Saccharomyces cerevisiae S288C: one gene and its partner. Changing the gene in region 1 together with any one later gene gives a genetic interaction. Each region holds a gene or a part of one and is shown on either strand. Other genes may lie near its edges.

What was found. Genes that interact genetically often act in the same process or in processes that back each other up.
Region 2: of GIS4 (region 1) and GIS2, extra expression of one rescues a mutant of the other (dosage rescue), as found in Saccharomyces cerevisiae (one study listed by BioGRID).

What each region holds. Positions count from the first base shown.
Region 1 is NC_001145.3:255,592-260,107, reverse strand, and holds GIS4 (Gis4p), read left to right. Parts: upstream 1-1,691; coding exon 1,692-4,016; downstream 4,017-4,516. Other genes in the region: DNA-binding transcription factor YAP1, read right to left, coding at 4,308-4,516.
Region 2 is NC_001146.8:166,827-169,649, forward strand, and holds GIS2 (mRNA-binding translational activator GIS2), read right to left. Parts: upstream 965-2,823; coding exon 503-964; downstream 1-502. Other genes in the region: trifunctional dihydropteroate synthetase/dihydrohydroxymethylpterin pyrophosphokinase/dihydroneopterin aldolase FOL1, read left to right, coding at 1-271; RTC4 (Rtc4p), read right to left, coding at 1,217-2,422. UniProt on the Saccharomyces cerevisiae protein: May act in the sexual differentiation pathway.

The DNA.
Region 1 (4,516 bases):
ACTTCTCATAATGAAACCAAATAGAGTGCCTATATTAACAACATTTTCTTCATGTAAACAATATTGGCCGCGCTGATGACGAACGACATTCAAATGTCTAAAACGGCTAAACTTAGTGAATACATTTACAAATTCATTTCTGTTTCGGAGGGGTGACAGAATGACTATAAATTCCATGCTTAAGACTTATCGCCGATATAAGTAAATATTGAAATGAAAATTAATCACCATCGACCGACTAGAGTTCGCATAAGTATATTATCGTGTACGGTGTAAGAATATAAATAAATGACGAACGGTCGTCAAACTTAATGGGAGCTGAAACACAAGGATCCGAATTATGATAGGGTAGTGAATGGCGACACATAAGCGAATAAAGAGAGATCATAATGCTACTGTGTAGAAATATTGATCACTTCTCGTGGGTTCGTAAATCCTCGGGGAAAAACTACAGTATACTTTGTATTCGCAAAAATATTACCGTTCCAAATAATAGTATGCCAACGATTATCAGCAAGTTCATCTCATTCACAGTACCCAGAAATACGAAATGAACAACTTTACACAACGATGATTCCTTTTCTCATAATACTTTCATTCGATTCATCCTTATATATTACTCACACACATCAGTTGCTCCAAAATCTAATAACACTGTGATCCCTGTTCTACTACTCTACTTTAATTAATTCCATCTTTTAACAACCTATACTATGGAATATAATTGATAACGATTTTAATTTTTTGAACGAGTAGCCGATAGACCAATATTACCTGCTGTTAGAATCAAATATGAATATAGACAATGTAATTATGTAACCAGAAGGAATCACAAGAAAACAGAATACACAAATAATCAAGTTAGTATGGCAACTTGGCCGAGTGGTTAAGGCGAAAGATTAGAAATCTTTTGGGCTTTGCCCGCGCAGGTTCGAGTCCTGCAGTTGTCGTTATTTTTTGCCTCTTGATGGATTTTTAAGTTTTGCGCTCATGCTTGTTATGATAATAGGAGAGCGAAATGCGGTAATTTTGTTTACGTCCATAATCATTTTTTCGTTTTGAGATTATTTCGGATCGGCAAATGCATTTTTTTAGCTCTGGAAATGTTGTTTTCACTTTTTCGCTTGCTTATGTGCATCCTAGGACTTTAGTTCACACCATCGATTATTTCTGTTAGGTTACACAGCATCTTTTACGTAAATGGCATGTGGCGATTCGCCAACTGGTTTCTCCTCATCGTTCCTAGCGCGGGGCTGACGGCCTTCCTCTGTGTTTTCAGGTAGTATCATCGCTATCGCACTCCACCAGCTACGAAGCCGGTGCAGGCAGAAACATTACTTGCATAGTAATACACGAAATTTATTTACTTTAAACCTTTATATCGAATTTATATCCCTAAACATTGAATTCTTCTCTTTTTTTTTCTTTTTTTAATTAGTTTTTTTCCTATTGTAGTTTTTTCCATCGCAAGCTAGATAAATATCTTCAACTTATTCACTTTGGCAGGACCAGATTTAACTGACTTGTGTAGCTAAGGAACGTGAAGGCTGAACAACAGCGGGAACTAAGTGCAGAATATATCGGCAGAAGTTTTGCAGAAATAACCCCTCATTAACACTCACTCTCATCCTTCAACTGCTCGAAAGACGGTTAACAAAAACCATCAAAAAGCACTCTGTTACTTAAATATAATGCAAAAATCCGTTAGAGTGGGCGACTATTTTGACAATGATGACAATGGTTTGTGGTCGTGGTACTTAACAAACCTCAGATTAGGCGATTTTGAAGAACTTATAGGCAATCAATTAAAATACACTCTGTTAAAAAGATTTCTGAATAGTCATTTTTATGGTGATAACAATATTTCGGCCAGGCCAAACAAGAAGATTTTGTTAGTTTCCATCCCAGAGAATGTTCATGAAGATATCTCCATATTGGAAATCTTCCTCAAAGATTACTTTCATCTGGAAAAATTAGAACACATTCAAATCTCAAAATTAACTCACTCCCACTGCTACAATCATGAAAATCATTACCTATTGACGGACAACCTCAACAATTTCCAAGACCCTACCTTTTTAGAATTTGCGAGTACAAGTTGGCAAGTTCAAAAAAATTCCAAGGCTTTAAACAATAACAATAGAAATTCAATACCACCACCCACAATATCTTCATCAAAAGCTTCAAACGGGAAGCTAGAATCAAACGTTTCGGATGATCAGTGGTCAAATATAAATACCCAGACTTCAACAGCTACCCGAACTAATACGAATACGAGGACTTTGACATCTCCGGACACAGTTGATATAAACGTTACATCCGTGAATAGTCAAAGCAATAATAATGATACGCCTCAAGATAATGAAAACGAAGTTGATGAAGAGGATGCCACAAGTTCTATAGTCCTAAATTTTTCTCATTCGCGAACAGTAGATTCAAAGCCTAATAGACTACCCAAAATTTTTCCATCATACACTAATGAAGACTATACACCGTCACATTCCGAGATAATGTCAATAGATAGTTTTGCTGGCGAAGACGTATCATCCACATATCCCGGACAAGACCTGAGTTTAACTACTGCCAGGCGCGAGGATGAAAGTGGTCAGGATGAAGTTGAGGATCATTATAGCAGAGTCTCACATGATCTAGGTGACGAGAGTATCGATCAAGCAAGTTATAGCATGGAAAGTTCGGTCAGCTACACTAGCTATAGTAGTAGCAGTAATAGTAGTAGTGCCCACTACAGTTTAAGCAGTAGCAGCCGAGGTAATCCAAAACGTGAAAACATCGATCACACGAATGCCACCTATGTCTCTGAATTGTCAAGTATAACGAGTTCTATAGACAATTTAACTACTTCGACAACCCCAGAGGAGGAGGATAATTTAATTCATCATAACTATGACGCCCAAGGGTATGGATCAGGAGAGGACGATGGAGAAGAGGTTTATGATGATGAAGATCTTTCTTCTTCCGATTACTCAGTACTATCCATTCTACCGTCAATCTCAATTTGTGATTCTCTAGGGTATTTTAGGCTAGTTTTGCAATCTATATTAATTCAGGATCCAGACACCAAAGAAATTTTTACTGCGATTAGACAGTCAAACAATAAACCTACAATGGCAAGCGTTACCGATGATTGGTTGCTGTATGATTCCAATTTTTCAATGAATAATTTACAAATTCTAACACTTCAAGATTTGCTAGATATCAAGAGATCATTTCCAAAAATTTTATTTTACACAATGGTTATTGTGACAAACTCCGGCAAACAGGTTGAAGAAGAATTCAAAAATCCCAATTATGATAATAGGGAAGGAATATCAAAAGAGCAACCTCTAGATTCTGAGTTATCATTAACTAACGACCCGCAACAATATTTCCCGACTGCATATAATAACGGTTACAACGACTATATTGACGATGAAGACGATGAAGACGATGGTGACGATGCTTCTTTATCAGAACAGTCAGGCCCACAAATGTACATACCAACTAGAATGGAATCTAACGTTACTACAGCACATCGTTCTATTAGAACCGTAAACAGTATCGGGGAATGGGCATTCAATAGACATAATTCTGTTACAAAAATCGATAAAAGTAATAGTAACGAGTTGGATAACTCTAAAACAGGTGAAAGTACAGTTTTATCAAGTGAACCTCATCCAATGACACAACTGTCGAACTCTAATACGACTTCCTCGAATTTTAGCCATTCTTTGAAGACAAAAAATTCTCACAAACCTAATTCCAAGGGTAACAATGAAAGTAATTCCAAAAATGAGTTGAAAAAGATAAAGAGTTCCATCAATGCTATGAGTGCCGTGGAAAGGTCCAAAAGTTTGCCTTTACCTACATTACTAAAGTCTTTAAGCGGCATAGATAACCCTACTCATGCCACTAACAAGGATAGAAAGCGTTGGAAATTCCAGATGAATAGGTTTAAGAATCATAAAAACAGTGGTTCTGCAGGTACGGATAAATCTCAGCGTTGTGCCATCATGTAAAGAATACTTTACCACTATATATAGATATATATATATACTTGTATTATAATTATAATCATTATTGGTACTATTGCACTTACCAGTTTCTATATTGACATTGAAGGTGATACAGAGAATTCATACATAGTCTAAATATATTTAAAGTATAGGTTGTGTACATAAAAAAATACCGAGGTGATACAATCTACCTACTTTCGGCGAAAAGGCGAAGCAAGGTAAGTTAAAAAAGTTTAATTGTAACATTATAGAAAAAGTTCTTTCGGTTACCCAGTTTTCCATAAAGTTCCCGCTTTAGTTCATATGCTTATTCAAAGCTAATTGAACGTCTTCTGCATTGATGACAACCCCTCTTTCTGAACATTTTGCCTTTGCCATTAGCTCGGAACATAAACCATCGACATCAATATCTGAGTATTTCGGATGTGTTGTTATTCTATCCCAAATTTCCGAACACCTTAGTAAAGAGCCTTCCTTAGATGGAACGACATCATTATCATTAT
Region 2 (2,823 bases), on another chromosome or scaffold:
CATTTTAAAGAACTACTCATTCACCATGAACTCAAACAATTCGCAAGTGTATGTTAACCTCAGAAATATGCCCGTTTTATTGGGTCCATCGCGCAAAAAATTCATTGGACATATCACAAAAGATGTGGATGCGAAGCAAAGAGACTTTGCTACTGGAGCGGTGGTAGCGTCGTGTATTGGTTTCGGCAGCGACATGGTTAGGGTCCATGACGTTAAAAATTGTTCGAAGAGCATTAAATTAGCAGATGCTATTTATAAAGGTTTGGAATAAAGGTTAGTTATATAGATTAAATATGTAATTCTGTTTTGTAATAATTTTTTTTCCTGTTTCATAATAAAGAATCGTTAAAAATAACCAAGGGAGGAAACAAGTGAAATGAAGTATAGAAAAGATATAGAAAATAAACTTAAATATTCAGTTTACTTGTGCTTCTTTTTTCCCCTCTATGAAATATAGCATGATAAGTGATTGTTCCTTTGTTTTTTTCAGTGGATGTTTCACCTAAGCCTTTGGACAATCCTTGGAAATATGGCCAGTTTCGTTACAGTTGTAACAAAGCCTGTCATTTTGACAGTCCCTGGACATGTGGCCAGCTTGACCACAAGTGTAACATTTCAATCCACTAATTCCGTCCTCTTTCATACAGTCCTTAGCCATATGGTTTGGACCACCACATTTATAACATGAAACTTTGGAGAATCTGCTGGTCTTCTTTGGTTCAGGGCATTCTCTGGAGATGTGGCCGGTTTGGTTACAGTTGAAACAACGTTGCACAGTACATTCACTTCTAACGTGACCGGTTTCACCACAATTGTAACATTGCTTGAATTCAACTGTTCTTGGCATGGTACAATCCGTTTGAACGTGACCGGGTTTGTTACAGTTGTAACATAGTCTTTCAGAATCACAGTCTTCTGCCAAATGGCCAATCTTACCGCAAACGTAACAAGCTTTTTGAGACATCTTTTTCGTATTCTTTTCTTTTTTCCTGATTTCTGAAGGGAAAGCCTTAAAATAATACAATCCTCAAGTGCCCCCAAAGCAGAAAGAGCATTTCTAATCCATCGATGACCTTATTACAACTCTTGCCAAAAGAGAAAAGGAACGAAAAGAAAATTTTTTCAGCATTTCGTCTATCATGACACCACAGCAGTTCTTACTATAAAGCTCAAATCCCTAAGCCATAAAGGCAACAAACGGCAATATACTACCTGTTTAATCGTGCGTATCCAGTCGCCATCTCCTGCTGGAATAGTTATGAACATCGAGTTTCAGTTCCCGCAGACGGTCTTCCTCTATGGCAGCTTCCCATTGCTCAATTGGATCAGAGTCGGCTACTATGATACCGTATTCAACTGTATCCTCGAGTAAGTCATAGGCTAGCATCCTTAATTCGGGATCGTAGTAATATTCCTTCTCGTTTAATTGTTGCTTTGGATGTTTATTCGGTGTCTTCGACGAGCAAGATTTATTCGAGAGATTTAATTGGTAAATACAAAAAGACGTAAGGGTTTCTGGAGCCAAAACGTAGTTACAGAAATCTGTTATCCCCCACCATTTTAAGGTTGCGGGCTGATTGTGCGTGAGTGCCCTTTTATATCTCTTAGCGATTTCTTCGCCAACCCTCAATTGCCTTTTCAGGCCGTAAAATCCAGCAGTAAATTTGTTTAAATTCAACTTTCTAAACTCATCTACGGACAAGTAAGCCTTTTGTGAGTTTTTGAATGCATTTTTTGCTTCAAAATAGTATACAGACGATATCTTTCCCTCCAATATGTCCATTACAATGGGCATGAAGGGTTCTACTTCAGTGAGTAGCTCATCCGAAAACAACATGGGTGGTAGTTTGAACTTGCTCATGTATTCTTCCCTTACTTGAAGTTTTTTGATTATCTGCTCTTTAGAACTCAAACAACTTTGTAACGATAGCTTTTTATCCTCGGGAAATGAAGAGGAGAAGATTTGGTTATCTTCAACTGCCGATAGTTCTGCCTCCAAGAGTAATTTTTTACCGTCTAAAAGATTATTGTTCCTGCATTTGATAGACTCGATATCTTCATTTTTCAAATTCTGTATTAGTGGGATAGAAACGACCTTCTCTTCTTCTTTTTCTTTTCCTCTGAGTGCTGCATTCTTTGCGGCTTGTACTTCTGAATTTGGAAATGACCTCGAAAGTTTATCAAATGTGGCCACAGTGGAAAGCTTTTTTACTTCAATCTCATCTTCTGTGATACTGTCTATTTTGCCGCGCTTTTTTGAGGGGGAAAAGGCATCATGGCCTGATAAGTCGTCACTTTCTCTATCATGTATGTCATGTTTTCCTTGTCTTTTCATTAACAGTAAGTTATCACCACTTCCCTTTTTTGTGGAATAAACACCTTTTCTCCTCACTCGATTAATTCCCAGACCAGGCCCAACCATCTCTGTCTACGCAGGTCAAAAATTTGTGCTAAGGTCTCGAGAGCACATACAGTACCCTTTTAATGTGATCTCATCGCTACATTTTTCAAAGCTTCCCATTTTAGCGACGCCATCTATATATAGGAAAAAAAAAAAGTTTAGGACGCTATTTACCACAACAATTGAGATGCAGCACAAATAGGAGTATCATTGCCTCCCAATTTTCAAGGGAGTTTTCAGAGAATTACTATTCCATACCTATTCAATTACTGGAGTTGTCTTCAGTATCATAAAGGGTTTTGGATTTTCAATCGAATTGCCATTTTTTTCCTGCTTACGTTCGATAGATAGCCAAATGCAGTTTATATATATGTATGTAGACTTGAAGGTATATTAACAGTGCCCATGTTTCTTTGGAAAGT